3 linked regions of the Elephas maximus indicus genome follow. The protein of the gene in region 3 interacts with the protein of the main gene of each other region in a pairwise test. Links are inferred from orthologs where the notes say so. Each region holds a gene or a part of one and is shown on either strand. Other genes may lie near its edges. The genes, in order: UNKL, ALG13 and BAG4.

Region 1 (11,077 bases), on a different chromosome or scaffold from region 3:
ACTGGCCTGCCAAGTTTACTCTGAGGGAGATAAGGAGCAAGAAAGAAAGCTGCAGACCAAAAGGGCCAGGGAGCCTTCCTAGTCTTGCAGGCTGAAGGCCATTTCCCAAGAGAACAAAAAAAGAGGAGGGAGACCAAGGCCGCAAGAGCGAAGAAGGCCCTGCACTTCTTTGGGAAGAGACCAGTACAGCTGCTACAGTTCAAAAAACCTTACACATTACTTAGAGTATCATTATGGCCTTAGTTGTGTCAAGCTCTCAGTTGCCCATCTTGAAAAGGTGAAAATGTGTTGTGAGCTATTAGGGTCACAGTGATCTGGTTTTGCCACCAGATGTCCCCGTGGGGTCCGCGAGCAGATTCTATCTCCTCTCCTGGAGAGAGGTGGAAGCCGGGGCTTGGAAAGGTGCTTGTCCCAGACCACCAGGTCACACATGACGAAGGGAGGGATCAGTGTTCGTTGTTGTACAGGATTGCCTGCATCCCTGGGGTTACACAAGAGGACGTGGGCTTGCGAGTTGCTGGGGGTGAGCCTCAAGCTCAAGTGGTCCCCAGCGCTTCGGACGCTCCTTGACTGCGCCTGTGTGGCGAGCGGAGGTGGGTCCTTCCCTTTGGCCTGGCGAGGGCAGAGGGTTCACATAGGCCCACCCGCCGGCTCTCACGGAATGCTGCGTGGGAGTAAGGCCTGGGTCTCCGCCATTGCAAAACTTCCTCCAAACATCAGCCCCTGACGCCCCGGAGGCGGGGAGGGCAGGGATGTTCGGGCGGGGTCCGCGTGATGGAACCAGAACCTCCCCGAGGCGAGCTCATCCCTCCTCTGCCCCCTCCCTCCAGCCTGGCCCCGCGTCGCTGCCCGAGGACCCGGCGAGATAGTTCCGCTTCGGGCCGAACCGGGAACTACATTTCCCGGCATACACTCGCGGATCCCCGGAGATGGGGCCTGCGGCGGAAGAGAGATCTGAAAGCTTTATGTCATTTCCTGTGCGCGACTGGGCCCACGTTTTGCGGTCGTGAGTGGAAGCCTGAAGCGACGTCAGGTTTCCGGTTTCGCGCGACGGAAGTCGCGAAGCGAGGAGTCGAGGTCGCAATGAGCTGTGTAGTGTTTGAGCCGGCGCCTGGGTAAGCTCTGCGCGGTTTCGGCGGGGCCAAGGGCGGGAGCCGGTGGGAGGACTGGCGGAGCGCTCACTGCTCTCTCTCTTCCAGGGTCGCCCGGGCGCTGAGGTTTGTGCGCTGGGTTTCCCAAAGCCCGCACCCGCCGTCCAGTGGCCGGGCACGGGCCCAGCCGGTGGCCAAGGGGGAGGAAGAGGACGACTTTAACCGGCCTATCCAGTTTTCCTCCAGCAAAGCCAACCCGCCCCGCTGGACGGTAGAGCATTCCCTGGGAAGGGTACAGCAGCGGGCTTGGTGGAAAGTGCTGCCCCTGAGTATCTCCTTCCTCGCTCTGTTCGTCTGGTGTTTTCTGAGGCAGGAGAGCAGCTCGGACGAGTGTTCGACTGGTGTGCTGGGAGAAGAGACAGAGCCCAGTGATCGCTCCTAGGAGCCTGTTACTGGCAACTGGGAGAGAACTTAACGGAGTGCCCCCTGGGGCTTCCGGGAAGGCAGCAGGCACTGTCCTTCGGCTTTGATGTCGCGTTTGACCTTTTCTGCCCTGGGTATGCGTCCGTCCCCAGCACTGAAGGGCTTGATGAATGGCGCACTGAAGGCAGGGTAGTCTCAGCAGATGGAAACCTGTGCCTTGCCTAGTACTTGATGCCTAGTAAATCAGTCCAAGAGACGTTTCAGACGCAGAGGAAAGGTTTTGTTTCCAGTGTGTGGTGTTAGATTTGCGATGTCTTCTGTGAAACATGTCCCTAAAGACACTTGTAATGCAGTGTTACTTTTCAGGTCATCTGGCTTCTGAGTCACAATAACCGGCGGAAGTGTTACATTTTTGAGCTCATAACATACTAAGGTGTGTGTAAATAACATCTATTGATCTTTTACACACTTAACAAATTGAAAATAAATTTGGTGGCATGAAATCAAGACAATTCCTTTTCTTTCTTTTTCTTGCACTTTATTACAAAACGGAGGGCAAGGAGAGCAGGTTAGCAGGCCAACAGCCATGTTTTTCTATGTCTTTTTTTTTTTTTCCCTAGTGTAGGAACTGAGAAAAGAAACAGAAATGTAAATTGTGGAATGCACTATCTGATGATGCCAGAAATGACAAATTTTCTCAGCTTTCTGCAAAACTTTATTTTTAGCAAGGCAACACTTTTCTGAGTAGAATAAACCAGTTAGTCAATTCTTTTGACAAATTATGGACACTATTTTGTGTTACCTAAATTGACTTCTTTCTCAAGTGAGTAGTTATTAGAAAAATCAGCTTGATTCTGAAATGCAAGATGCATAAGGGATATTATTACACACTTAGCCTCCCAGTGGAAGGTTTGTCTTAGTGTATCTGTGGTGCTGAAGTTAATTGGAGGCTTCACCAGGGCAGATGGTATGGTAATATACAGGTAGTCTCCAACTTATAATGAGCCACACATAAGGCCGTCTTTTTCATTTTTATTTTTTGGTACTTCTTATAGTCAGTAACATGCACTGCATACAATGTTGCAGCATGTAATTGGTGATGTTATTATTCTCAGATGTTCAAAGGTTGGATTTATAAGGATACTGATGATAAAAGGTGATAATAATGAAGACTAAAAAAAGAGGTATTTAGCTTACATCAGAACCAGCTTAAAACAGTTGCAGAATCCCATCGTTATCAGGGACTACCTGTACTAACTTCTCCTAATGCTTTTGTGCTGAAGTGCTTTCCATGTTTCCTGCACATCCATAAAATTATTTGTGTGAAGGAGGTGGGCCAGTGGAAGCATGTTCATTTTTTTTTAAAGGTGGAGAAACCAAGGTTTGGGAAGATTGACCATCTCAGCTCAGGGAGTATAGTTCCAGCAGGATCAAAGAGTTAAGACTTTTATCTCAGACTTGGAGTGGTTGTGACTGGTTGTGGACCATCTGGTTTGAGCAGCAGTCATTCAAACCCAAGCCCCTGTTTTACTCTCACTAGCTTCTGCAGGGAAACAAAGCAGAATGAATGGGAAGAATTTCTGTTTGAACTGAAAGTTACTATCCTATTATAAAAGTAATATATATTTTATCTGGGAAATCTAGACACTAAAATAAGCAAGAGGAAGAGAATAAGAAACAGCAATAATCCTACCACCAAGAAAACCCTGTTGCCGTTGAGTTGATTCTGACTTATAGCGACCCTATAGGACAGAGTAGAACTGCCCCACAGAGTTTCCAAGGAGTAGCTGGTGGAATTGAACTGCCAACCTTTCGATTAGCAGCCCAGCTCTTAACTACTGTGCCACCAGAGCTCCAAGAGGTAACCACTAAATGCTTCATTGCTTTCATTTCCTGGATTTTTCCATGCATATATAAATACTCAATTTTTAGAGAAGCACAAGTGGGTGAGTAACATTGTTTTTGATGAGACATCACACCACATGCAACAGACCCTGAGTGCCTCCAGGGTAGGTCTCTGAGGGCTTTTCCAATTTATTACTTCACCCCAGAGACATGGATAAGCTTCATTGTCACAGCAACTCAGCAAAAAGAGAACTCAAGGCCAGCTGGCAACAGAGGGCAGACCTGTCTACACCTGGACTTTTCAGTCCTTTCATTAGTTAGCTGTTTTTGTAGTCTGCTGCCTTATTTCCCCAATGGGCCTGTAGATTTTCTATTTCCCTAGCTACTTGGCACATTGATTTTTTCATGTGAGTGCTCAGTTAGCACTTTCAGGGACCAGTGTAAGCATGCTGAAACGGAAGCTGTTGCAGAGATTATTAAAATGATAAATTGTTGGGCAGAAACCCAAAACCCGCTGCCGTCAAGTCGATCCCGACTCATAGCAACTCTGTAGGACAGAGTAGAACTGCCCCATAGAGTTTTCAAGGAGTGCCTGGCGGATTCAAACTGCAGACCTTTTGGTTAGCAGCCGTAGCACTTAACCACTACACCACCAGGGTTTCCTGTTGGGCAGAAGGAGGAGGAAATTGTTAGAAAAGAAAAGAGATTGGGAGAGAATCTTTTTAAAGAAAAGGAAGCTAACTAAATGGTCACTTCTAAACTGATGAGCAGTCTTAGAATACTGGTGGTGCTATGCATTTCCCCCCAAAAGAAAAAACACTTCTAGGTTCACAATGAAAACCCTGGTGTTATATAAGTCTGAGCACTACCCCAGCCTTTTAAGAACTTTCTTCAAAAGCACAAAAATGACCTTTTACATCCGTACAATGTATCACAGTTCTTTCTGACTTCAGGAAAGATACCCAGTGGGTGAGAATAAACAGGGCATCTTCACTCCCACCTCTATAAGAGAACCCCAAATCCCTTCATCTTGAGCTCCCAGCTTCCCCTGGACACAAATACTGGACTGGCCCACAGGTTCCATGAATGCCTTCCAAATTGAAATTCACCTCTCCCAGTCTGTTTCTTCTCCTTTGTTCCATATCTCACTTAATCTCATTACTATCCACCCAGTGCTCTGAGCTTGAGACCCCAGTTAGACCTTTCTTTCTTATTCCTGACATCCTGTCAGTTTTCAAGATCTGTTTATTTCTCTTCCAAAGAATTCACGAGCCCTGTTCCCCTCCCCAATCCATCCTCCTGCTTGATCTCTGAAAATACCACGTTCTTTCTTGATTTTATCCTTTTAATTTCAAGATTTTAACGTAATGTTTGTAGAGGTCATAGTTTGAAATGTGAAGATATGAATAAGTCTTTTGTCCTACCAGCTAGTAATAGTTTTTGCTATTTTACTGTATTCTTTGCATTTAAAAAAATTACATAATTGGGAACAAATATGGAAACTTTATATCTTGCTTTGTTTTTCTTTTTAAATTTATCTTGTTGGTTCTTGTTTTGTTTTTAAGCTAAATGGCATTTTGTGAGTCACTAAAAATTCTTAGGACACATGGTTATTGAACCATGGCATAACCAAAAAAAAAAAAAACAAAAAACCCAAACCCATTGCTGTCAAGTCAATTCCAACTCATAGCGACCCTATAGGACAGTAAAACCGCCCCTTAGAGTTTCCAAGGAGCACCTGATGAATTCAAACTGCCAACCTTTTGGTTAGTAGCTATAGTACTTAATCACTACGCCACCAAGGTTTCTAAAGCCATGGTATAGCATTAGTAATTTAAATATTTTCTGACTACTAGACTGTTGTTGTTAGGTGCCGTTGAGGTGGTTCTGACTCAGCGACCCCATGTACAACACAAAGGAACACTGCCCAATCCAGTGCCATTCTCACCATTGTTGCTGTGTTTGAGCCCCTTGTTGCAGCCACTGTGTCAATCCATCTCCTTGATGGTCTTCCTCTTTTTCACTGACCCTCTACTTTACCAAGCATGATGTCCTTCTGCAAGGACTGGTCCCTCCTGATAACATGTTCAAAGTACGTGAGATGAAGTCTCGACATCCCCACTTCTAAGGACATTCTGGCTATACTTCTTCTAAGAGATTTGTTCGTTCTGGCAGTCCATGGTATATTCAATATTCTTTACCAACCTCATAATTCAAAGGCATCAATTCTTTGGTCTTATTTATTTTCCAATGTTTGTATGCGTATGAAGCAATTGGAAACACCATGGCTTGGGTCAGGTGTATCTTAGTCCTGAAAGTGACATCTTTGCTTTTTAACACTCTAAAGAGATCTTTTTGCAGCAGATTTGCCCAGTGCAAAAAGCTGTTTGATTTCTTAACTGCTACTTCCATGGATTGTTAGTCTAAACTTTTTGCAGCCTAACTCTGTGGCAACTATCTTTAAACATAAATCTTTCAATCTGATTTTTAAAATGTCTCTTATGACACACACTTACAAGATAATGTACTCTAGCCCTGGGTGCCCCCTGACATACACTCTCCTCCTTCTCCTCCAGGGCCTGCCTACAGTGGGGCCATGTGTGTGAGGGCTGTCCAGTGGTGTGATTGCCTGCTTCTCATAGTTCCCACCCTTGGTACATCCCTGCCCCATGCACGTGATTGTCACCCTGTTGGTGACTGTGGTGTCTGTGTCTCCCCCTCAACTCAGCCTCTTGGATTCATTTTTTTTTTAAACAGCTTTATTAACATATAATTCACATACTATTCAATTCGCCCATTTAAAGTGTACTATTTATTCAAAAATATAAAGTAAAAGCACGTTCACAGAGTTGTATAACCATCACCACCATCTCATTTTGGAACATTTCCCCACCCCCTAAAAGAAACCCACACCTATTTGCAGTCACGCCCCATTCCCCTCTCCTGGCCCCCCACTTACTGGCCCTAAGCAGTTGGATTCCATCTTTGTGGCCCCAGCACCTAGGACATCAGTGGGTGTGGGGGCTGCGAACGCGCGTGGCCTGTGCTCTGGGTGGGTGTCCGAAATTGCAGAATGCGTAGGGCAGGAAGGTGGGGGCGATAGCGATGGTCGGGGAAGGGACTGTGGTGGGTAAGAGGGTGAGATTGGCAGTGGGCTTGGGAGAGGCGGTGCTGCCGTGTCGGGGGCGTGCGTAGCCGGTGTGACCGGGAAGCTGTGCGCGCGGGCTCGGCAGGTCTGGGGGCGTGGCGGGGGCGTGGGTCGGTGGGCGGGGGGAGCGGGTGGGTTCCGCGCGGGGGGAGAACCGGAGGGGCGGGGGCGGGCCCGCGCGGCGCATGCGCACTGCATTGTTTTTGCCAGAAAATGCCGTCGGTTTCGAAAGCGGCAGCTGCGGCGCTGAACGGGTCCCCCCCGCAGACAGAGAAACCGACCCACTACAGGTCAGCGCGGCGGCGCCAGTACGTCCGGAACGGCGGGAGGCTGGCGACTCGGCCCCTCAGCTTGCGGCCTGTCGTCGGCCGGTGCGGCCTGCGCCCGCGCTCCCCGCCCCCCCGCCCCCCCCGCCTCCCGCCCCCCCGCCTCCCACCTCCAGCTTCAGGTCGGGGGCGGGGGCGGGGGCGGTGTGGGGGTGGAGGCAGCCATCGGCATTTGTGCTGCGGCCGCCCGAGGTCGGGGGCGGTACCCGGGGTTGGGGGACAGGGAACGCGCTTGAGATTGGGGGGAAGGGGTGGCCATCTGGACTCCGGCTGCCGCCGCTCGGGGTCAGGGGACCGCGCCTGGGGTCGGGGTGGCACCCGGAGTCGGGGATGGGGGTCGCCATCTGGACTCATTGTGCCGCTGCCTGAGGTCGGGGGCGGTGCCTGGAGTTGGGGATCTGGGATCCGCGCCTGGGTTTGGGGGTGGCACCTGGGCCTGGGGGACAGAAAACGTGCTTGGAATTGAGGGGAAGGGGCGGCCATCTGGACTCGGGCTGCCGCCGCCTGGGGTCAGAGGTCCGCGCTTGGGTTCAGGGCTCTGGGATCCGCGCCTCAGGTTGGGATAGGGGAGGCCATCTGGACTTGGGCTGCCGCCGCCTGGGGTGGGATAGCACCTGGGCTGGGGGGCAGGGGCGCGCCTGGGGTAAGCCTAGGGCCTAGGGTGCCGCACTTGGGATGGGGATACCGGGTACCGGGCCTAGGACCTGGGAAGCCAAGCCTGAGTGAGTTCAGAGGTCGGGGCTGGGTCGGGGGTCGCGTCTGGGCTCCCCTGGGGGGGGGGCGCCGCCTGCCGGACCGGCAACGCTGTTTGTCTTTTTAGGTATCTAAAGGAGTTTAGGACAGAGCAGTGCACCCTGTTTTTGCAGCACAAGTGCGCCCAGCACAGGCCATTTACCTGTTTCCATTGGCATTTCCTAAATCAGCGTCGGCGCAGACCACTCCGCAGGCGCGACGGCACCTTCAACTACAGTCCCGACGTGTATTGCCCCAAGTATGACGAGGCCACTGGTGTGTGCCCCGACGGCGACGAGTAAGTGCCTGACAGAGGCCGGAGGCCGGGGGCCAGCGCTGCCAGGTGTGACATTGCCCGCCGTGCCCGTGGCCCCATCAACGGGCTTATAGGAACACTTGTTCGCTCCACCTCCAGGTGCACCTGGGATCTTTCCTTTCTTACTATTTAAAATTTTAATTTTTAAAAAAGGTTGATAGTAAAGAAAGTTGTTTTATCTGCAGATTTAGAGTTTAAGAAACCAAGGCTTGAGTTAGGATTTTTTTTTCTTTACAAACTTCCTAGTGGTGCTGTGAACAAATGTCTTTATTTTGAAGTTTGTAGAATGGGAAAACAGAAAATAAAGGAAGATTGTATATTCACATAATGGGCGGAAATTGGTAGTGGGAAGTTTTACTTTTTTTCTTATGAGATGTTCAAGCAGGGGGAGGGTGCTTCCTTCCTGGCCCATGAGCTTCTAAAATAACAGTTTGCTCAGCTTCTGTTAGGATCAATAGCTGGATTGGGTGGGGCCTTTTTAAATTTTATTTTTAACATAAATATATAGGTACAGAATATCTGCAATTTCATCAGTCTTCACAAGTAGAGTTCAGTGACATTAAACATGTTCATAACGTTCAACCATGGCCATCAACTGTTCTCGAATTTTTCCATCATTGGCTGGGCTCTTGATGGCTAATACCCTGATCCCATGTGGGGCTGGGCGGGTGGGGGAGCTGCTTCTCCAAATGTGTGTTCTGTGAAGAGCTTTTCACACTGTGCAGTTCAGTGGCATCACCATGTTGTGCAGCCATCACCACTCTACATTCAGGGAGTGAACTTCTGATCATGGCGATTGTTTTATAAACTTTAAACACCTACTGAAAGTCTTTTAATTGAGTACTGGAGGGATAGTGTTGTTGGTTAAGGCATTTTGGATCCTAACCTTGAAATCAAGTAGCCAGCCCTGCTTCTGAATTGGAAGTGTTTTTGATTAAGATGGTGTGGGACTTCTATGCAATTTTATAAGTGATATTTTTGATTACATGCTTAGTTGCTTCTTGAGCTGATGCTCTACATACAGGAGTCTTTAGAAGAAATATGTTTGTGTGGTTGAAGCCTGGACTCAGGTCCCTAAAATCCCACTGTCCCTTAGTTGAGCCAGTCTCTCTCTGCATCTTGGGTCCTGAGTCGCCCAGTGGGGACTCCGCTGCCCAGCCCTGGTTCAAGGATTTGGGTCGCAGCAATGCCAAGGCCAGTGACCTGACTTGCCTGGTCCCGTTCTAGCGTTGAGTGTGGGAACTAATGGTAATGTTTTCATGCAGAGAGGAAAGCGTCTTGTAATAGCTGGGTGTCCTGTTTTTGGATCAGCCTCCCTCAACAGGGCACCCATGTCCAGTTTCTAGCGTCTTGGCGGTGCTTTGCAGGCACTGCCGCAGCCCCCTACCCAGGGGTACTCTTTTGAGGTCATTATGTGGAGTGAGTTTATTACTAAATATTAACTTCAATAATAGAAATACACTCTGAATGGCACGTGGGTCCGTCGTTGAGAAACATGGTCAATGGGTCCCCAGTGCTGTGTGACATGTTCTGTTTTGGATGCAGCCTGTGTGCATTGGCATGTTGTGAGAAGGTCATGGGTCTTAACTTTTACTGAGGACATGTAATGACTGTGACAGGCCAGACCTCTCCCCAGGAATCTCTCCTGAGTACATTAACGCTCATTCCACTGAAGAGGGAGAAGGACTTTCCCTTTGCCCCACAAATGTAATGGCCCCAAATTTGTCCTGTTGCATTACTTATTCTGGGTCATGCAGCATTGCTGTGTAATTCATAAATAGATTCTACTTTTCAGAGCAAGGAGGAGGACTTACCTTTTATTTCAGTTCATTCCCCCCCCCCTTTTTTTTAAAATTTTTATTGTGCTTTATTTTTTTTTTTTAAGTGAAAGTTTACAAATCAAGTCAGTCTCTCACACAAAAGCTTATATACACCTTGCTACATACTCCCAGTTGCTCACCCCATAATGAGACAGCTTGCTCCCTCCCTCCACTCTCTCTTTTTGTGTCTGTTTCGCCAACTTCTACACCCTCTACCTTCTCATCTCCCCTCCAGGGAGGAGATGCCAACATAGTTTCAAGTGTCCACCTGATCCAAGAAGTTCGCTCCTCACCAGCATCCCTCTCCAACCCATTGTCCAGTCCAATCCTTGTCTGAAGAATTGACTTTGGGAATGGTTCCTGTCCTGGGGCAACAGAAGGTCTGGGGGCCATGACCACCAGTGTTCCTCTAGTCTCAGTCAGACCGTTAAGTCTGGTCTTTTTATGAGAATTTGGTGTCTGCATCCCACTGCTCTCCTGCTCCCTCAGGGGCTCTCTCTTGCGTTTCCTGTCAGGGCAGTCATTGGTTGTCTGTGTGGCCCTTTCTATTTCTTGGGCTCGTAATTACCTTGTGTCCTTGGTGTTCTTCATTCTCCTTTGATCCAGGTGGGTTGAGACCAATTGATGCATCTTAGATGGCAGCTTGCTAGCGTTTAGGACCCCAAACGCCACTCTCCAAAGTTGGATGCAGGATGTTTTCTTAATAGATTTTATTATGCCAATTGACTTAGATGTCCCCTCATTTGGTTTTGAAATTCCAATTTGGGGCACATGTATTACCCACCTGTTATTTTAAAACATGAATATGTATCAAAGAGCAAGATCGTTCAGCCAGGTTCAGGGGAAATGAGCCAGGAACGTTGTTTTTGGCACAGGCCGGAGGTGCTATGGGACAGGAAGGGGGTGAGTGGGTACCTCTCCTTGACGGTCAATCACCCCATGGTCACCCCAGTCACAGGCTTTCCTGAGCAGGAGGACACCCCTCCCCACCCCACACTACATCCCCTCACTCCCCCTTTGGGCATACCCTCTGTCACCTTGCAGTGGGCCCCTCCATGGTCAACCTCCCCATGGGCACCCCTGCTGTCCTTGCTTTCCTGAGCATGTGGCATCCCCTTTCTTGTTATCTACCCCTCCCTGTGACACCCCCGCTGTTACTTCTTGGTGGGCATCCCCACAGGGGTTACCCCTTTCCTCGGCAGCCAGCTCCCCCATCACCCCATCCTCCATGAGCCCCCCTCCTGGCATAGAAAGTGCCCCCCTTGGTCAGGGAGGATATGCCCCTTCCAGGCACGGGTGAGGATTGGCTGCCCACCTCCCCTGCTGCCCAATAGCCTGAGGGAACCATGGGTTGCCTGGCCGCCTGTACCCCAGGT
Region 2 (10,486 bases), on a different chromosome or scaffold from region 3:
CAAATTCTCGTAAAAAGACCAGACTTAATGGTCTGAGTCTAGAGGTACCCCAGACATCATTGTCCCCAGACCCTCTGTTATCCCAAGACAGGAACCACTCCCAGGGCCAACTCTTCAGATAGGGATTGGACTGGAATATGGGATGGAAAACGATACTGGTGAAGAACGGGCTTCTTGGATCAAGTAGACACATGAGACTGTGTGTCTAATCCTAATCCTAATCAAGATCATTAGAAAAGATACATCAGTTATAAAAGTGTATTCATCATTTATGGAAAACCTACTGTTTCAGTAGAGGACTCAAGAATGAGTAAGACGTAGTTCCTCCCCATCTAGACTGTAAGAGATCCTCCAAGGCAGGAACATGTCTTGAGTTCTTCTGATACAAAAGTAGATTTTCATTATGCATTTATGTTGGAAGATTAAATGAATGACTAAATAAATGGGCTTCAGAAATTTAGGAAGTAAACATGACAGCATCTGGTGATTGATCAGATAGATAAAAAGGGTAAGAGATATAAGAGTTAAAGCCTGGAGGACTGACTAGATGGTGACACCATTAATTGAAATTGGAATTAAAAAAGGATGAAAAGGAAAAATATGATTTAGGTTTGAGGCACATTAAGTTTGAGGTGCTTACAGAATACACAGACATACATGACCAAAAAAACTGTTGCCGTCAAGTCGATTTCAACTCATAGCAACCCTATAGGACAGAGCAGAACTGCCCCATAGGGTTTCCAAGGAGCAGCTGGTGGATTCAAACTGCTGACTATTTGATTAGCTGCTGTAGTTCTTAATCACTGCACCACCAGAGCTCCAACATGACCAAGAGGCAACTGGAAATACCAGTCACCTCAAATCAGAGTTAAGAGATACAGGCAGGGGAGCCATCAGTAGTAGCAGCTCTGGAAATGAAAATACCAAGAAATAATATATAAAAAGGATCAAAAAGAGAACCGTAGAACACAAATATTCAAGAAGAAAACAAGAGCCAATAAATAACTTGCAACTGGCAGTTTTTCCACATGGATTCTTTGAGTAGCAACCAGTTTGCTTTTAAATAGCAATGTAAAAGCTAAAATGGATTATGTACCTGTGGCTGTCATACAATCTGAATTTCTTGGGATAGTCCTACTTCAAATATTCTATCCTACTGTTCCATAAATGATTAAAATATCCTAGATTTCAGTGTTCCAATTACAACTCCCAGACCATACCTTGGATCTTTAAGTGACATAAAAGTCCTTTTTCAGATGATGTCCTGAGTTGACTTTCCTCAATTGCGAAATTGGACAAGACTATTTCATAGAGATTAATTCATGTAAAATGCTTTGACTGGTACCTGATACATACTAAGTGCTCAAGTGTGAACTGCAATTGTTATTTTTCATTCCCTCCACCTTGTGAAATTAGCGGTACTAGTTGTAGAGCAGAAAACTGATCACCACATGGCTATCATGACCACCCATTTGAATTTTCTCCAAAAACTGACTTCAAATAATCTGTCCAGATATTTCACTTCTCAAACTATATGTAGATTTTTTATCATCTCTGGAAATTTAATATTATGAATAAATAACAGGGATTACATAGGTGCTTATACCATAATAACCCCAACCAAACCCATTGCTGTCAAGTGGATTCAGACTCACAGCAACCTTACAGGACAAAGCAGAACTGCCCCATAGGGGTTCCAAGGCTGTATATCATTACGGAAGCAGACTGCCACATCTTTCTCCCACAAAGCATAATAAAAGGCCAAGAAAAGTTACCGGTATTACTGCTAGTCACTTGTGACTTTTTAGTCTTGGAAAACTCTTCCTAAAACTATCAATCAAGAAAGTGGTACAGAACATTTTTTATTGTCCTCTGTATAATCTGCCTTTAAAAGCATACAAATTAGCATTCTAAAGTGTCTATAAATCATACTTGACAATACTTTTAGACATGACTACTTTTAAATGTTCCCAAGCCTCACATCAAGTTTATTGGATATGCTATTTTACCATCAATTCCTTCCAGCTCTTATTGTCTTCCCTTTCAAATTATAAGCACGCTGTCATCCAAAATGCTCACCTCACAAGGTCATCCTACGACCTCACTTTTCACCTACTCCACCACTATAAACTTTCTACTATTATTACCTTATTATCTGTCCATCCCTGAACCTATCCACAATGTGAATTTCCCAAAATACTAAACCCTCTTTTGCTTCCTTATCCTCTAATAGAAAACTGCTAAATAAACTGCATTCCACTTACTGATTTAAAAGAACCTGAAGCTGTGGTGGCATAGTGGTTAAGTGCTACAGCTGCTAACCAAAGGGTCAGCAGTTCAAATCTGCCAGGTGCTCCTTGGAAACTCTACAGGACAGTTCTACTCTGTCCTATAGGGTTGCTGAGTCAGAATCGACTCAACGGCACTGGGTTTGGTTTGGTTTGAAGCTGTTATCAGCCATGTAATAAAACCAAACATTTAACTTTATTGAGCAAATCTTTTAAACAGAATTTTGATTACCATTTTTTTCTCATAAGGACTAAATTAGATGTGAAATTGGCCATTAATTTCTTAGCCTGTTTCCTCATCTGAGTGGTTCGGCCTAGATGTTCTTTAAATTTTCTTCCAGCTCCAAAATTCTACAATTCCTTGTCTTAGTCTTTATTCGTTCAATCTAAGTATCAACCCACAGCATTGTGACAGACTCCAAACAACTAAGGAATCACAGATTTCTAAGTCTGACTCTATGTCCTAGGTAAGGTAGAGAATGGGTCGTCATAAACCAAAGGAAAACAAAGTAAGTGAAGTGAATTGAACAACTTCTGAAAATAAACAAAACCATCCTTGGAAGGGATCAGTGTAACCAAATATTAGGCAAACAATTATAAAGAACCAAAAAATGTATGTATATTATAGTATGGTAAAAAGAGCACAGGACTAGGAGTAAAGGAATTGTTTCTAATGCCATCTCTGCCAAAAGCTGTTATTTTGGGCAAGTCATAACTTCTGGCCTCTTTCCTCATTTAAAAACAATGGAATTGGACTACATAATCTTGAGGATCCCTGCCAACTCAAAATGATTCTAAAGTATCCTTTGATTTAGAACCCCACAAGTGATATAAAATTTCACAAAGGTGTAGTCAGAAATGTTACACAATTGACACCATTGGCTTAACTCTCCACGAAATGAAATAATGAAATCTAGGTTAATATGCAATGATTATGGCACTGTGAATTCTCAACTATGTATAGATTACTCACTTTTTAGATTATTCTCAGCAAAATTTTAATCCAAGTTGGCTTCCTCTTGCTACCCAGAGCACTTCTTAGCCACCACCTTCTACGCTTAGTAAGAACGTATTTTAATATTAGCCTAAGTAAAACACAATTGGGAAAATAAATCTACAAACCTTATATAAAGCATCCCAAGTTAAAATGTTTCAAACATTCAACATATTGGGATAATATAATGGAATGTAGGTCCTCCTCATAAATGTTCTGTTTTTTCAGATAAACTTTCTACCAGAGAACTATGGACACTTAGGAGTAATCTCGTGTATTTTAAAGGTCTTGAGACCACTTACTTTAATTAGAAAGAATTCCATAATGTACCTATCTCAAGTTATCCTGTAAACTTTAAAACCACATCTTTAAGTCATTATCCACATCAGATCATTTCTTATTTGTAACTAATTCAAAGAGCATATAAATTGTAAATTTCTATATGTTACAGTAATGTTCCAGTACCAATGTGGGGGGCAGTCCTTAAAAAGTAACAGTAAACCCTACTGGTAGAAGTCCTTTTTGATTTCTTCTCAAAGTAGTAAAGCGTTGACATTGGGCAAGATTATTTTGCTATTTCAGAGAAAAAAAGTGAACATATCCACTCCACTCTATTCTTTGGGATGAAAGTAGTTTCTCCAAGTACAACAGAAAAACTGCCTTCATAGTTAATCTTTTTTTAGGCAATTATTGAGCTTTTTATTTCACAGAGTACAATGTATCATTTTTGCTTGTCTTTTTTTTTTTTTGGAATTTGGTTCCTTGGATTATGAATCTAAAAATGCTGACCCTCATACAAAGATATTTTTTAAAAGTGTTACTGTTTCATTTTCTAGTCTAAGAGACAGCAAACTGACTACATGTATAGTTCTTGCCAAAACACTTCATCTTAAGAAGTTTTCAAATCTCATGTTTTTTTTAATGATTCCAAACGCATGTGTGATTCTAGGATAAAAATTGTGAATGCCCACTACGTGTTTTACTAAAATATGAATGAAGATTAGGGAAAATCTAGCAAGTTTACTAAATTGCAAATAGGATTTGGACCCAAATGCAAATGTTCATACCATAAAGTTTTCTAAGCATTCTATAGATGTAGTTTATTAACTGATATTACTCTGCAAATACGTATTATATATTTGATTTAATCACATCCCATACGTTGGATTTGGGGGTGTTTTTAAAGCGTTGAGAGTTTAGTGTTTATTTTTGTAATCCAACAACTTTATCCAAAAATGCAGAAAATTTTTCTGGCTGGCCAGGAGGAAAACATTTCAGTGTTGATAAGTCCATTGACTGTAACAGCCCAGGAAGCGTGCTAAAACAAAAGAAGAAAAATATTAAGTAACATGGGAGAAAATTCCATAATTCACCTGCTGCCCACTTGATGACTGACTCTAACTTCCAAGAATACAGCGCTGCTTTCCAAACTGTACAAATGAATTTTAAATGTATTTTAATAATATAAGTATTCACACTTAGAAAAGATTACTAAAGCAAAATAGTACATAATGCCAATATTAATTCAATAATTTATCTTTTGTATCAACTATTTCAGAAATGTTATTTCATGAAAGATGTATTCACATGGCTTTGTAATACTACTTAGGACTAGGCACAAAAAAATTGAAGCACAATTAATTTATGAAAAAGGAATAAATGAAGCCAAAAGTAATAGCAGCCAGGTAAGAAAGATAAGCTGGGGAGACTATTAGGTCATCCCTGACAATTGTGAAATAACTTTTTCTGCTGGTAATTTACTATCATAAATCCATATATAATTAAGCAATACGTGATCACCATGCATGTTGGAAAGGTTCTAAACTGCAACATAAAACTAACACATCAGAAATTTCATTAAGCCAGTCACTTAAATTAGTACAGACATACAACCACCCAGCCTAGATTTTGGGAAAATGATTTACCTGAAAGGAAAACACAACCAATTATTGAAATTCTTACTGCTTTCATGTATGTGACTTTCTTGAATATAAGACTTTTAAACTGCAAAAATAGAATAAATTGGAGACTTGTACAGCTAGCTTCCTTTTCAGCCTGAGTAAAATGTCAGGATGTGTTTATGAAATCACTGTTTTACTGTTTTTAATGTACTGACATAAAATCAAAGCTAATTTAACATCTAGAATGAAAATACTCATCAAAAGTCTCGGGAAAAATTGATCTGCATAAACCAATTAAGAAGATGAGAGTGTATTCCTTTAAAAAATAATGTTAACCCCTAACAATCTCAACTACCTAAGGGCAGACAGATATGCCCACTATTGGAAGCCTAAATAATTTTAACTAAGTTCCTTCCGACTCACAATACTTTAAGGCTGGCTTCTATATTACAAAGCCACCCTGACATTCCTTCTCCTTCATCACTACCAGGATGAGGACCAACAATTATTCTTGAAACAATCAATGAGTCTGTCTCCCATCAATGAGAATGGGGGTCTTTTGGTTTGTTCACTGATGCATACCAAGTGCCTACAACAGTACCTGACACATATTTAATAAATAATTTACTGAGTGCCTGAGATAGAAGCAGTAAAATTAAAAAAGCTTCTTACATTCTAGCCAGTTTCTTCTAGTTTATTTTATATTTTAAAATTAATTTCAATTTACTATAACATAAAACGTGGGGCAGTTCTACCCTGTCCTATAGGGTCACTATGAGTCAGAATCGACTCAACGGCACTGGGTTTTGGGTTATAACATAAAATATATTTTTTTCTAATACTTTCATAAAGTATTTATTTTTTGAAATATGAAATTAGGATAGGTTTTAAAGTCAAACAACTGGGAATTACTGACCTGACCTTTTTGCAAGCTTCTGGTGTCTTAAGGGAAGCCTACTAGAAAACAAGCCAGCAGTTTTCTTCATCCTTCTACTGTGATGTTGATCAGTTCTTCTTGAATTTTAGTATACTTCTAGAAAATAGTACTCCTTACCATAAAGTAATTCCTCTGCTTAAAATGCTCCAATGGCTTCTCACTGAACATAGAATAAAATCAGAACTCTTATATAAGCTACCCCCGCCCAGCATCATCTGGTACTACACTCTCCCTTGCTCACTATGAACCTATCACATGAACCTTCCCTCTATTCCTCAAACACTTCAAACTCATTCCTACCTCAGGGCCTTTTTAACTGCTGTTCCCTTTGCTTCCAGAGCATCACATGACTGACTCTTCCTTGTCATTCAGGTCTCGCTCAAATGTCATGTACCTAGTCATGCCTTCCCTGATCATCCTATCTAGTCTTCACCTCAGCTATCATATCATCCTTACTTTCTTCATAGCACATTTCATCATATGAAATCCTCTTGATCATTTATTACTTGTGAACTTGTTCACTGTTTATCTCCCATCATTAGAATGTGATCAGGAACTTTGTCTCTTGTTTCCCACTGCACCCTCAGCACCTAAAACAGTGCCTGGTACATACTTAAGTGTAACTGAATAAATAAATGTGTAGGGATTCCAGTGGATGTGCTGAAGGCAAAATCCTCATTAAAAATAAATGCTTTCCTTGAAAAAAAAGTCTAAATAAAGAACAAAAAAGTTGTATTCCCAGAGATTTATGCACCCAGATGAACATGCACCTATGCACACACACACACACACATTCGGATTATCATATACAAAGAAAGAGCCACAGATACACAAAGAAGTACAACACACAAACCAGTCAAAGTAGAAAATAAATGAGAGGGTTTTATAGGTGAGAAAATCAAAGTACGTTTGATAGGTGGAAGAAGGTAAGAGGCAGAAGAGACAGGCAGGCAAGTGAGTAAGGCTATAAAAACAGCTAGGAAAGAATTAAGACAAGGTCAGTTAAACAATCAGTCTATAGTATACCTGCAGGTACAGTAGAAGAGATGCCCCTCTTTGTGTAGCTGCTTTGCCAATTCCAGCTGATGATTGTTCATCAACTTTTCATTTATGACAACTACAAGTGGCTTTCCCTTTTCCAGAGTCTCCAAACAGCTTCCTGCACCTACAAAAATATATCAAAATTTGTTAATATAGTTTTAAAAAAAAGGCACTCCAAACTAAACCCCCACTACCACTGAGTTGATTCTGATTCACAGTGTCCCCACAGGGCTTCCAAGGGTGCAAATCTTTACAGAAGCAGATTGTCACATCTTTCTCCATGGAGCAGCTGGTGGGTTCGAACCTCTGATCTTTTGGTTGGCAGCCGAAGGCTTTAACCACTGTGCCACCAGTGTTCCTTTAAGGTGCTCCACCATTCTTTATAGCTACAACTCAAAAGTTAATTGGCAGAACCACAAATCAGGCCTTTCAATTACCTATTTAAAATGAGAAAAGTAGTTATCAATTGCTCTCTAAGAAGCGACTTTAAAAATACATTACTTTATCATCTCCGACAATATTATGGCCTATGATTCAGTGCTTTGTCACTTGCCCTCTAGTCAAATGCCCTGGGAATAGCCTTGAATCCAGTTAAGATCCAGGTTCAACATACTTTAAGTGACGTTTCCACTCAAAACAAACAACAACAAAAAAAACCCAAACCCATTGCCATCAAATCGAGCCTTCAGTAGTGGGAGGGGAGGACCCTTGTCCTCAAGCGGATTCCAAGTCATGGTGACCCCATGGATTATATAGTAGAACTGCTCCACAAAGTTTTTTTGGCTCTAATCTTTATAGAAGCAGATTGCCAGGCTTCCCCCGTGCACCACTCGGTGGGGTCTTTTGAATCGCCAACCTTTAGTTTAGTAGAGACCTAGAGCCCTGTAGAACAGTAACCACTGGTGCCACTCGCACCAATAAAGAAAAACCCTGACTACTCCTTGAGTCTGTTAGGTCAACCAGAAAAAAAAATACCAAACAAACCCATTGCCATTAAATCAATTCCAACTCATAGTGACCCTGTTAAGTAGCATCCCCAAAATAGTGGAGAACAGATCTCAATGAATGTGCACATATACAACATTAGGACAATCCAACTTTGAAATCCAAAATCCTTTAAATAAATAAATAAACCCGTTGCTGTCAAGTTGATTCAACTCATAGTGACCCTATAAGACAGAGTAGAACTGCCCCATAGGGTTTCCAAGGAGTGCCTGGTGGATTTAAACTGCCAACCTTTTGGTTAGCAACTGTAGCTCTTAACCACTATACCACCAGGGTTTCCTAAATTCTTTAGATATCTCAAATGGGAGAGAGCAGACTGATAAGTAGATAAATCCTTTTTAGACAGACTATTTTAGACAGTATACAAGGGTAGTAGTTAAGAACACAGACTCCAACACCAGACTGTTAAAAGTCTGTCCATCACTTACTGGCTGGACAAGTTATTTAACCTCTCTGCCTCAGCGTCTTCATTTGAAAAATAGATACTAATAGTACTTAAATTCATAGGATTGTTTGGGAGGATGAAAGGAGTTAATTCACACAAAGCTCAAAGAACGGTACCAAAAGCTGTTAGCTATTATCCTACACATTTTTAATGGCCAATCTGTCTGTAATGTCTATTTCTAATGGCTTTTCTCTCCTCAAACCATTTAGACTTTTTAAGAATAAATAAACTCCTCACTCATGTATCCAGCAGTCACAATCACAATACCCGCCAAAAACTTCTTAAGGTACTGACAGTCTGATTACTAGACAACCCGCATTGTTTTCTGAAGAGCAGACAATGATGGTTATTAAAGAATGTTCTTGACCGCATTCATTTCACACTCACATTTAGTAGAAATGTAAAAAATCTTTCAAAACCAATTTCTCAGATCAATCCAACACATTTCTTCAATTGGACCCCAGCAGATATAAAGCCGAATACTAATCTCAAGACTGTTATTGGATAAATCCTTCTGCCTGTGTTTAGGGTTTCTAAGGCTGGGTTAACAAAAAAAAAAAAAAAAAAAACCCAGTTGCGTTGAGTCCATTCCGACTTATCTTCTCTCACTCAGAAAAAGTAAATTTTCTCCAATAAAGTTCCCAATTGTTATATTTAAATAACTCAAATAATCATTAGATTCAAAGGGGCTACAGTTAAGTTAGTGCAGTGATTTTTACCTCAAGGTTCAAATTCTTTATTGCCTATCAAAAATCGAACCGAGATTCCAAGGCACTTTACCTGCGTGACTAACAACAAGATCTGCTTTCTGAAGGTCTTCTTTTAATGAATCCTTGTAGTTGTAAACATCCAGAGTAAATGACTCAGTACTGAATGGTTCAGGTACCACGGTGCCTCTACCAATCTGTAGGACAAGTCGGCTGTACCCAAGACTCTTGATTATCTAAAACGGGGGAGGAAAAAAAGCGACCCTTTAATCAGGCTACTGTGAAAACAACAGTAACAACCGCAAACCCTAAAGTCAGTGTGCAGACTTGAGCACGAGCTGCCAAATATTCTAACGGGATTCAGGTGGTTTTCCTCAAGAATCCTTTGACCTGGACCTGACAAGGTGCTTCAGTAGCCCTAATGAATGCACGCGACCCAGCTCACCAAGTGGTGAAATAAACCGGTCCCGGAGAGATACGACAGCAGGCAAAGACTTAGGAAAAAGCGTCAAGTGGGGCGGGAATTAAGCAACCAGTTCGTTCGCCTCACAGACTTGGTTGGCTGAGAGAAGCGGCCGCCTGAGGAGAGGACCCGCTCAGGAGCCGGTCGTCCTCTGAGGAGCGGGAAAAGCTCGGCTCCGGCAGGGGCGAGGGCGGGGCGAGGCCAGACAGGCGCCAGGAAGGCGGCGAGGGGGGGAACGAGGAGCTGGCGCCCACCGCTAGGTCTGGGAGGCACAGGGGGAGCGGCGAGGGGGCGGGCAGGCGAGCGCCTCAAGTCCGAGGGGCGGAGCCGTGGGCAGAAGGGGCGGGGCCGGAGAATCGGAGGGGGGAAGCTTGTGACAGGAGGGGAGGAGCCTGAGAAAGAAGGCGCGGGGGAAGGGCTCTGAGAAGCTGGGCGGGGAAGCGGGAAGAGGGAGGCGGAGGGGGGCCAAAAAACGGGCAGCGGCACCTGAGGTGAAGCTTTTTCTCTAGCAGCGCTGCTAGCTGGGAAGGTTAGCGAGGCTACAAGTAAGGCTTGTGAAAGCGAGAGGCCAGCAAAGCGAAGCTTGCGAAGCCGCCGCTGGCCCGCCTTCCTCACTCACTTGGAGAGTGTCCTGCGCCGAAACACACGCAATGAGGTCGTCAAAGCTGGTGGTCCCGACAGTAACGAACAGGCACTTCATCGCGC
Region 3 (10,196 bases):
TATTTCTAATTCTGTGAAGAGCTAAAATGTCAAACAATCTTCTACTATTGTATTGAGTAAGACACATCATTTAGGAGAACTTTAAACCGCAAACCGGAAGAGTATTTCGGATTATGCTGCACTAATGCATATACGTGGATGATGACAGGAATAAACCCAGAAAACTAAATCTCTTTATCAGTTAATTGCTAATATCGGCACAGCTGTAAGAAAATATGAACAGGGAACTTGAAAACTCAAAAGCCTAAACAACTGCAGAGATTAAAACTTTAGTTTTAGAAAGAAACAGATTTTCTATGTTGTGTGGGTATGTGTTTGTGATGATTTACCAAAGATTTAACTTTGTTTCAGTACTGAACAGGATTCACTTAACCCGATGCAGACATCCATGGTTTATGAACCCTAATCAGTTAAGAATAATTATTTCTCTTCTTCCAACTGGATACTACTTGTCTTTGAAGAAAAGCAGAAATTCATGCTCTGATCTTTTATAATTATTTCAATTAGTATGCTGTTTTTCCTCAAGCCCAAATTTGGTGGCCTAACAGGTGTTCAACACATGTCAATGTGAAATGAGACGTCCTCTGAAACAGAAGGAAACACGATCTCTTACTTTAGGAAATTATAGGATATAAAACAAGGACCCAAACTCCTGAGTCTGATGCATTCCTATGTGTAAATATTGAGCTTCATGCTGTGGTCCCCAGAAAGCTTCAGAAAATGCTTTCTACCCAATTTTCATTGGACAGGGAGGGATTACCTTCAGTGCAGCAACTGCTACGAAGTTGCACCCAAGCCAATCTACAAATGAGCCTTTTTCAGTGGACTGAGCTCATTTCTATCATTTTGCTCCCTCTAGTGGGAGAATAAAAAAATAGTCCAAAACATTGCAATCCCATATTCCGGTGAAAACCAGTTTCAGAACCACAAGCTTTCTGAACCACCTATTCGTAATTTAGAAAACAATGATGTATTGATTCAAAGTCATGTTCCATTATGCCAGACAGGGGAAGAAGCTACAGATAAATTTCAACATGAGGCCACACACACACACATAAAATGCAATGGGCAGCGATTATTATCCAGAGTACAAGAGAAGGGCAAGTCCGTAAGTGATACATACCAAATTGATCAATGCTTCTTAAAAAGCCTATAAGTGTCCTTCCATCTCGAAGCAGGACCAAGTGCTTTTCTGGGAAAAGAAAAAGATCTTTAGAACGAAACTGTTAGCTTCAGTGAGTTTACAAGGAAGCAGCAGAAATAAAGTTAATAGCAGTTTTGTAGCTGCAGGAGTTTATTTGAGAAGTGAAGGGAGGACCGAGATCGCCTGGGATTTAGGTTACAAGATCAGTGGTGACAAAAATCAGTGCAGTAAAGAAATGTGAAGGACCAGGCTGGCTCTACGCCCTGATGTTTGACACTGGAACCCTCTCAGTGTCAGTTTCTTTTCTCTTAAATTGAGCATTAGGTGAATGTTTACAGAGCAAATTCGTTTCCCATTCGATAGTTTGTACGTCCAATGTTTCATGACCTTGGTTTCACTCCTCACAACGTGTGGGCACTCTCCCCTTTCTCCATTTCCACGCTGGGTTCCCCATTTTCTTTCGACCTGATTTCCTACCCCTTCCTGCCTTCTCATCTTTGCTTTTGGGCAGATAATGCTCTTTTGATCTCATATAATTGATCCTTCTAGGGAGTATGTTCCTCTTGGGTGTTGTTTATCTTATGTGCTTGTCTATTGTTTGGCTGGGAGGTGGTCTCTGGGAATGGCTTCATTCCAGGTTGGAAGGGTGTCTTAGGGCTCAGTGTCAGCTTCTACATTTGCAAATTGAGAAATTTAGTCTACATGATCTTAAATCTAGAATTATTTTCCCCTCAATTTAAAAGATGAGTTTCTATCGCACACTTTGGGATTAGGGAAGGTTGTAAATAAAACCAGTGTCTAGATATTCAAAATAAAGACTCTGAGAACAAGCTGGAACAGAAACTCAATAATATTTATTGAGAGCTATGTACTTTTTCAGCAGAGAATAAGACTCAAAGTTATCAACCGTATGAATTTTTATTTCTGATGGGGAAAGACAAGAAAATTATCTATTGTGATTAGTACAATGAAATAATAAAGACAGCAGGATGGTATGATGAAGGGAGAGGGGAAGTAGCTACATAAGAAAAGCTGGTGAGAGAATAGTTCTCTGAAGAGGGGGTTCTGAGTCGACATCTGAACAATGAGAAGAAGCCAGTCACTAGAAATGTCAGCAATTCATTTCTCTAATGCCATGCATAAAATACTTTCTAGAAGCAGAACAGAGGAACAAGATAGTGGTTCTGCCCTGAAGGGATTTACAGCCTTCCTTGGGCTGTAACTAAGTACCATAAGAACGCAATTTTTAATTACATGAGACTTCAGAGAAAGAAATATATCTAGCTGGAGGAGGTGTCTGAGTGGGATCCTGAAAGGTAGACGGTTTTGGGGCACGGAAAGAGTGATGGGGAAAGATAAAGGGAGGGAAATCTGTAAATGAGACAGAAGAAAAAAAGGCGGAAAGTTGAGAGTGTGAAGAGAAGTAACAGTGGATGAAGTCAGAAAGGGGCCAGGCTGAGTTTGGACTTTATTTCATAGGGAACAAGAAAACACTGAAGACTGATCAGGCAGAAAAAGGAGAGCAGTTAGGAGGCTATTTCCAGATTATACCTGAGGCATGAAGAACAGAGCTGAATCATGGTACAGAAGAGAACAGAAAGGATGAAAAGGCTAACACTGTGCAGGCAGAAGTGATGGGATTTGTCAACTCATTGAGTTTGTGCGTGTGGATACGTGTGAGTGGTGGGGCAGTAAAGTAAAGAAGCGAGTTAAAGAAGATGTGAGTTTTGAGTCATTATGTCTAGGAGGGTTATTTACCAAAAGTTGGGAATAAAAAGATCAACCTTAGGAAGGAAGGTTATTACCTGTTTGTGATTCTGAAGTGCTATCAGGACATCTAGGTAGAAAAATCAGCAGGCAGTTGGAAATGAAGGACTGGAATGCCAAAGAGGTCAGAATTAGAGCAATTTTGGACAAATCCACAATGAGGTGATTTAATTATTATAGTCCAGGTCTCCTAGATATTTAAAGAAAGAAGCAGACCAAAGATGAAATCTAAGAGACTACCTATTTTAGGGAATAGGAGAAGTTTGAAGGGTAAAAAAATCAGCAAGTATCACTGTCAAAGAAGTCAAGAAATAGAATTAAGAATGTAGTGGTGACAGTAAACAATGCTGCGGTGAGGAAGAGAATTCAGAAGTGTGCATTAGAGCTGTTGATTGATGACTTTTAAGAATGCATCTTCAGTACAGTGGTGATGACCAAAAACAAACTAACACAACAGACTGCAGGGGTAACAGAGGTGGTCTATCAACAAAAAAACCCCCAAACAAACCCATTGTTGTTGAGTCAATTCCAACTCACAGTGACCCTATAGGACAGAGTAGAACTGTTTCCAAGGCTGTAATCTTTACATAGCTCTCTCCCGCAGAGGAACTGGTGGGTCTGAACCACCCACCTTTGGGTTTGCAGCCAAGCACTTGACCACTATGCCACCAGGGCTCCTTGTGGTCTATCACAGATGGTCAGAAAGCAGAGTTAAAACAGAGATGACTAAAGAAGTTTGGGGGTGAAGATGTGAAAAAAAGGATGGGAGTCTGATGGGGAGACACAGCTGAGAAAAATGTCTGAGCATGGACAGACAAGAACACAGCCGAAGGGAAGGATCCAGGAGGAAAGAGAGATAGAAGAGAAAAAAGGATATTAATGGAACAAGGGTCCAGAAGCAGTGGGAGGAGAGAGAAAATATATGCACACACAGAACAAAAGGAATACTACCTACTCAAACAAGTGGATGGGTGCAGATACAGAAAGACTGAGGATAGGGGAAGAAAATGTGTGTGTGGGGGTAGGGGGTGGGATGCATATCAAATAGCTTCAAACTTCTAGGTAAAGAAGGAGTCCTGATATGATTAATATAATTGATGTCACTAAATTGTATGGCATGGGGCCGCTACAAGTGAACACAACCACCACCACAACAACAAATTGTACATGTGAAAAATGTTAAATTGGCCAAAAAAAAAAAAAAAAGAGAAGGGGACATGGAATCTACATATAGGTAGCGGTTAGAGACCTGAGAATAAACATGATTTTTAGTAAAATGGTGGGATGTGTCAGGGACCTCAGATAATTTAGATTTATAACACGGGAGGCGTGGGGAAAAAGGACATCCTCAGATAACTAAAATCATTACACATTACAGACAGACTTGCACAGTTGTTCATTTATGGATTTGGTCCAATTTACATTTCCTTTTGATAGCAAAATAAATAATTTGGACTTAAAAAATGATCACAGAGAATTTAATCATAGACTCACTCTAACTGGCATACTCTCAGCTACCGACATCAAGAGAGATTGCTGCAATTTGTCTGGAGCTGTTTGCAAACCACTTTGCAGCAATTACACGTTAATGAGACAAATCACACAATTAAAACGATAAAACATGTTGCTTGAGGAATAATCCACAGAGAACAGTTTAGAAAAAAGAAAGACAGGACAGCTGTTAAGTAGGTCCTCTTGCTTTTGTACAGGCCTGAGCTCCCCTTCAGGGTAGTAAATAGGAAGAAGGGAGGTGTCAGTAAAAGTAGAAGAAAATTGTCTAATAGAAAAAAAAAAGTTTGAAGTGACTCAGTCTTTCCAAAAATGTCAATACGATGTCTGCCACTGGTCTCTACTATCATAAACTTAAAGTGCTTAACACCTTCATGGTAAATGAAGATTGCAAGGATACATCAGAATAAAGCCTCCGTTTAATTGCCAATTAAGTGCAACTGGTGTTTCTTAATGGGTCCGTTCTCTAAGTATTCTTAGCCATCCTTCGGTAACCTGGTACAGTACTTCGTGATATTCCAGGTGGGAGACAGTGGGCGGGGAAGAAGTCTGCTGGGACACTTTCGTGTTCGGGCCTCGGCTGCTCCGTCCCTCCAAGTAGGAGTGAATTCCACAGTTCGGGGACTGGCGGAGGTTGCGGGGGGGCAGAATTAAGGTAGTAGGGCGTGTGGGGTGTCATGCGATGTGTACCTTGGCTGTAGAGAATGTCAACGCGGAACACCCACAAGTGAGTTCAAAACAAACGGTCCCCTGCCCTGGACTCACTCTACAATCTCCTTCCAAAAACGCGCCCACCCGGGAGGAAGGGTCTCATCCCAGACTTCACCGTGAGAAGATGAACTACTCACTATCGATGTCCTCGATGAGGCTGGCGGTGCCAGGCATATAGTTCATTTTGAGTTGAGATAAGGTTGTAATGTACAGCGGCAACGGGCCAGCGAGTCCAACACCGCCCTTCTCCTACTGCAGCCGCCGCCTTGGCGGGACCGGGACAGGAACCCGTCCCCGGACCGCACTCCCGCCCCGGCTTTCAGCCGCCGGGGCCTGCCGGAAACGCCTCCATATTACCACGCCCACTTCCGGCATCACGCGCCCGTCCTCAGGAAGGGGCGGGGCCGTTGTGTGGTCCCAGGACATCCTTTCCCCGTCCCTGATGAAGAGGGGAAGAGGAGTCTAGATTGGATAAAACGTGGGAAAATATATTCTCCCTTGTGAGAAACATAGTGCCTCCCCTCACTTTTCTGCTTCCAAGACACCAGAGTCGCGGACCTATGTCCCTCAACTCTCAGACCGGGCAGTAGGAGGGGCGGGACCGGGCCTGGGATTGGCTGTTGTCGTCCTACCCCCTTCACTGCTCTCCATTCCCCTTCGCTTTCAGGCGCCTGCGCAGTGGGCCGGCCGTGGGGGGCGGGAAGCGCTTCGGGGCAGTGGAGCCCATGTCGGCCCTGAGGCGCACGGGCTACGGCCCCAGTGACGGTCCGCCTTATGGCCGCTACTACGGGCCTGGGGGTGGAGATGTGCCCGTGCACCCACCTCCGCCCTTATATCCCCCTCGCTCTGAACCTCCCCAGCCTCCCATTTCCTGGCGGGTGCGCGGGGGCGGCCCGACTGAGACCACCTGGCAGGTAGAAGTCGGAGGAGGCGATGGCTACTATCCCTCTGGGGGCGCCTGGCCGGAGCCGGGTCGAACTGCAGGAAGCCCCCAGGTAAGCTTTGTATCTGCCTCTGGGGGTCCGGTAGGAGGGTCTTTGGGGGTGAGGGCTCTTGGAGTTGATGTATCTCCGGGGTTCGTTAATGGATCGTTTTATTTTCCTTTTGGGGGATTGGAGAGACGGAGACTGGGGCCATCGGTGGGAGGGATGTGCTTGTGTTGTTTGATCCTCCTTTTCTGTTTCGACCATAATAAATGTAGCTATTACCAATGAAAAGGAAAAACGGTCTTGCCCTGCCTGCCAAGGGGTATGTCGCCTGGGATTGCATTGGGCTGGAGTGACCCGGCTCTGCACTAACAATTTATCCTGCGTGGCTCGGCAAGCCGGTCTTAGGAAGGGAAGTGGCTGCAGCCCCCGCTGTCACTCAGCAGCCCCTCCCGTGAGGAAGGACGTGAAAGAGAAGGAGGGATCTAGGCATTTAGCCCTTTGCCCTCTTGCTTTGCCCGGGATTGAATCACGAATAATCAGTATTGTAAAGCATCTTTACGTGGATTGTTTTATTTAATCTTCATGGCAACTGCGAGGTAAATGTCATTACAGCATCCCTGTTTAACGAACAAGGAACAGGAAGCGCTGAGAGGCTAACTCACTTGCTTAAGATACTCCGTGTTCTGCTGAAAATATACTTCTGTTTTGTTAATGCATTATTCTCAGTAGAGGATTGTCGCTATATTGTGATGGCACACTTCTCTTTTCCTTCAAGTGGTTATAACGTTCTCAGTTGATGAAAATGTGGTAGTGAAATCCTCATATTGCTGGTGGGAATGTAAAATGGTGCAGTCTCTTGGAAGACAGTTTGGCAGTGCCTCAAAAAATTAAATATAGAATTACCATATCACCCAGCAACTCCATTCCTAGGTATGTACCTCAAAGAAATGAAAACACATAGCCATACAAAAACTTGCTCAGGAGTGTTCACAGCAGCATATTCGTGATAGCCCAAGGGTGTAAATAACCCGAATGTCTATCAGCGGATGAATGGATAAACACAATATGATATATTCCTACAATGGAATATTATTCAGCCATAAAAAGGAAGATATGTGCCACGACATGGGTGAACCTTGAAAACATTCTAAGTGAACGGAGCCAGACAAAAAGGACCACATATTGTGTGATTCCATTTATATGAAATGACCAAATCCAGAGAGACAGAAAGATTAGTGGTTGCTAAGGGCTGGAGGGACGGTTGTATGGAGAATAATCGATAATGGGTACTAGGCTTTTTTAGGGGCGGGGTGGGGTGGTGTAGGGCAGGATGGGTGGGTATGAAAATGTTCTAAAGTTAGATACTGGTGATGGTTGCACAACTCTAGCCGGAAACCATTAAATTGTGCACATTAAAAGATCGATTTTATGGTATGTGAATATATAGCAATAAAAAAAATTGCGTGAGAGAAAACATGCAGTGAAGGTTTACTGTGAAGAAAAGTCCATATTTTCTCTGCCTAAATCTGGATAATTAGACTGTGGGAGTTTTATCCCGTTGTAGAATGATAAAATGCTTAACTAAAAACCAGACCAAAGATCTTTTGAAGGTAAAGAGGAGAGGACCACTGAACTGAGGACTTCGTACTGGGCTTGCTGTATCATACAAAAGTCTGTTTTCTGCTTGTAGGGTTAGGAAAGTGTTGGATAGACTAGGGAAGTTAAGATTTTAGCATTGTGTGGGGAATTGTCAGGTAGGGTCAGAGTACCTGCACAGAAGGTAGGAAATGGTGCTGGAGTAGTTGGAGATAAAGCTGGAAATGTGTAATGGGCATTTATAAGCCATTAAAAAAGTTTGGACTTTACCTTTCAGGTTGATAATTCTGAAACTTTCAAAGTACAGGAGAGTAATTTGTTACAAAGGAATAGAATACAAAAGATATGGGTGTTGTCACAGGTGTTGCAAATGTTTTTCCCCCAGTTTGTTTGCTTTTTCTACATTTTTATACAGTGAAACCTGTAAGAGCGGAAACTTAATGGGACTGCCTTGTTTTTCCGGGTCTCACAGGTTTTCTGCTGTTGACAGAGTGCAGTCTTACCACTTTTCTATTGCTTGTTTTAGTGGAAAATATTTGCGTTTTCCATCTCTGACAGGCCTCTGCCTTACACAGGTTTCGGCTTTTGGAAAGTTTTACCGTACAATATAATCAAATCTGTCAAACTATTAAAAAAAAAAAAAAAGTGTAGGAACCGTTGAAAAGCTTGGCACTCAGGAAGTACAGTCCATGCACCAGAAGCGTCAGTAGCACGCCTGCTCCAGGTTTACGGAATCAGCATCTGCATTTTGGTAGAACCTCCAGGTGACTCATACGTGTTAACATCTGAGCAGCTTTGCTCTAGAGAACTTAATATATTGAGACAGTGTTGCACTGAACCACAACAAAGACGTGACTCTGTATTAATATACTCGAATATGGCAGGGAAAAAATGGGAAGTCTCTCTCCCTGTTTTTTTGTTTTCGTTTTTTAAAGAAATAAACTTTTTTTCTTTACCCGATTAGCTATACTTACCTAAACTAACTGCATCTACATCACCTAAAAGCTTGTTGGAAATGCTGTATCTCAGGCCTGGTCCCAGACCTACTGAATCAGAAAGTACAATTTAAAAAGATCCCAAAGTGATTCATATGTATAGAAAAGTTTGGGAAGCTCAGTTGTGTGTGTATTTTTTTTTATAGAATTTTTTTTTTTTTTAAAAAGAGCAGTTTTAGGTTTACAGAAAAATGATGCAGAGAGTACCGAGTTTGCATGTGCCCCCTCCCCCTGCACATCATTTCTCCTGTTAACATCTTGCATTCCTGAGGTCTGTTTGTTACACGTGATGAATCAATGTCAGTATCAATACATTATTACCTAAAGTCCGTGTTGTTATTAGCTGCCTTTGAGTCAGTCCCCCCAGCTTAAGGCAAGCTCATGTACAAACACTGCCCAGTGCTGCGCCATCCCCATGATCAGTTGTGGATTGGAAAGTTTGGCTGATTTTTGGAAGTGGATTGCCAGGTCTTTCTTCCTAGTCTTAGTCTGGAAGCTCCACAGAAACCTGTTCAGCATCATAGCCTCCACTGACAGACAGGTGATGACTACGTATGAGATGCATTGGTTGAGATTTGAACCCAGGTCTCCTGCGTGGAAGGCAAGAATTCGACCCCTGAAGCACTGCTTCCGTATAGTTTACATTAAAACCAGTTGCCACTGAGCTGACACCAGACTCATGGCAACCCCATGTGTGTCATAGTAGAACTGTGTTCCACAGGGTTTTTAATGGCTGGTTTTTGGGAGGTAGATCACCAGCCCTTTCTTCTGTAGTGCTCAGGGTGTACTTGAACCTCCAGCCTTTCGGTTAGCAGCTGAGCACGTTAACCATTTGCACTGCTCAAACCAATAAAACCAAACCATTTGCCATTGAGTCAGTTCTGACTCATAGCCACCCCGAGTGTGTCAGAGTAGAACTGTGCTCCATAGAATTTTCAGTGGCTGATTTTTTGGAAGTAGATTGTCAGGCCTTTCTTTCAAGGTGCCTCTCAGAGGATTCAAGCCACCAACTGATTGGTTAGTAGCAGAGCACTTACCCATTTGCACCTCCCAGGGACTCCTAAAATCAGGTGTCATTGAGTTTATTGTGACTCATGGTGACTCTATGCATGTTCACTTTTTGGGTTGTGTGGTTCTTTGGGTCTTCAACAATGCTTACTATCGTGTCCGCAATTATAGTACTATACTGAATGGTTTCGCTGCCCTAAAAAGGCCCTACAATCCAACTCTTTATCCCTCCCTCTCTCCCTGACTTCCTGGCAACTACTAATGTTTTCACTGTCTTTATAATTTTGCTTTTTCCAGAATGTGATATAGCTGGAGTCATATAGTATGCAGCTTTTTCAGACTGGCTTTTCTGACTTAGCAATATGCATCTAACGTTCCTCCTTGTTTTTTCACGGCTTGATAGTTCTGTTCTTTTTATCACTATATAATACTTCACTGTATGAATGTATTACGTTCATTTATCCTTTCACTTTCCGACGGACATCTTGGCTGCTTCAAGTTTTTGGCAATTATGAGTAAGGCTGGTATAAACATTCG

What was found.
Region 1: the proteins of BAG4 (region 3) and UNKL interact in binary tests that used the Homo sapiens proteins (3 or more experiments, as listed by UniProt). The link is inferred for Elephas maximus indicus from reciprocal best matches to the Homo sapiens genes BAG4 and UNKL.
Region 2: the proteins of BAG4 (region 3) and ALG13 interact in binary tests that used the Homo sapiens proteins (3 or more experiments, as listed by UniProt). The link is inferred for Elephas maximus indicus from reciprocal best matches to the Homo sapiens genes BAG4 and ALG13.

Annotation. Positions count from the first base shown.
Region 1 is NC_064830.1:58,557,760-58,568,836, reverse strand, and holds the start of UNKL (putative E3 ubiquitin-protein ligase UNKL), read left to right. Parts: upstream 1-6,718; 5' UTR 6,719-6,720; coding exon 6,721-6,797; intron 6,798-7,653; coding exon 7,654-7,863; intron 7,864-11,077. UniProt on the Homo sapiens protein: May participate in a protein complex showing an E3 ligase activity regulated by RAC1. Ubiquitination is directed towards itself and possibly other substrates, such as SMARCD2/BAF60b. Intrinsic E3 ligase activity has not been proven.
Region 2 is NC_064846.1:45,772,145-45,782,630, forward strand, and holds the start of ALG13 (putative bifunctional UDP-N-acetylglucosamine transferase and deubiquitinase ALG13), read right to left. Parts: upstream 4,485-10,486; 5' UTR 3,262-4,484; exon of another isoform or gene 1-3,261. UniProt on the Homo sapiens protein: Catalytic subunit of the UDP-N-acetylglucosamine transferase complex that operates in the biosynthetic pathway of dolichol-linked oligosaccharides, the glycan precursors employed in protein asparagine (N)-glycosylation.
Region 3 is NC_064840.1:62,579,847-62,590,042, reverse strand, and holds the start of BAG4 (BAG family molecular chaperone regulator 4), read left to right. Parts: upstream 1-5,822; 5' UTR 5,823-5,856; coding exon 5,857-6,126; intron 6,127-10,196. Other genes in the region: U6 snRNA-associated Sm-like protein LSm1, read right to left, coding at 1,124-1,192, 5,269-5,314. UniProt on the Homo sapiens protein: Inhibits the chaperone activity of HSP70/HSC70 by promoting substrate release. Prevents constitutive TNFRSF1A signaling. Negative regulator of PRKN translocation to damaged mitochondria.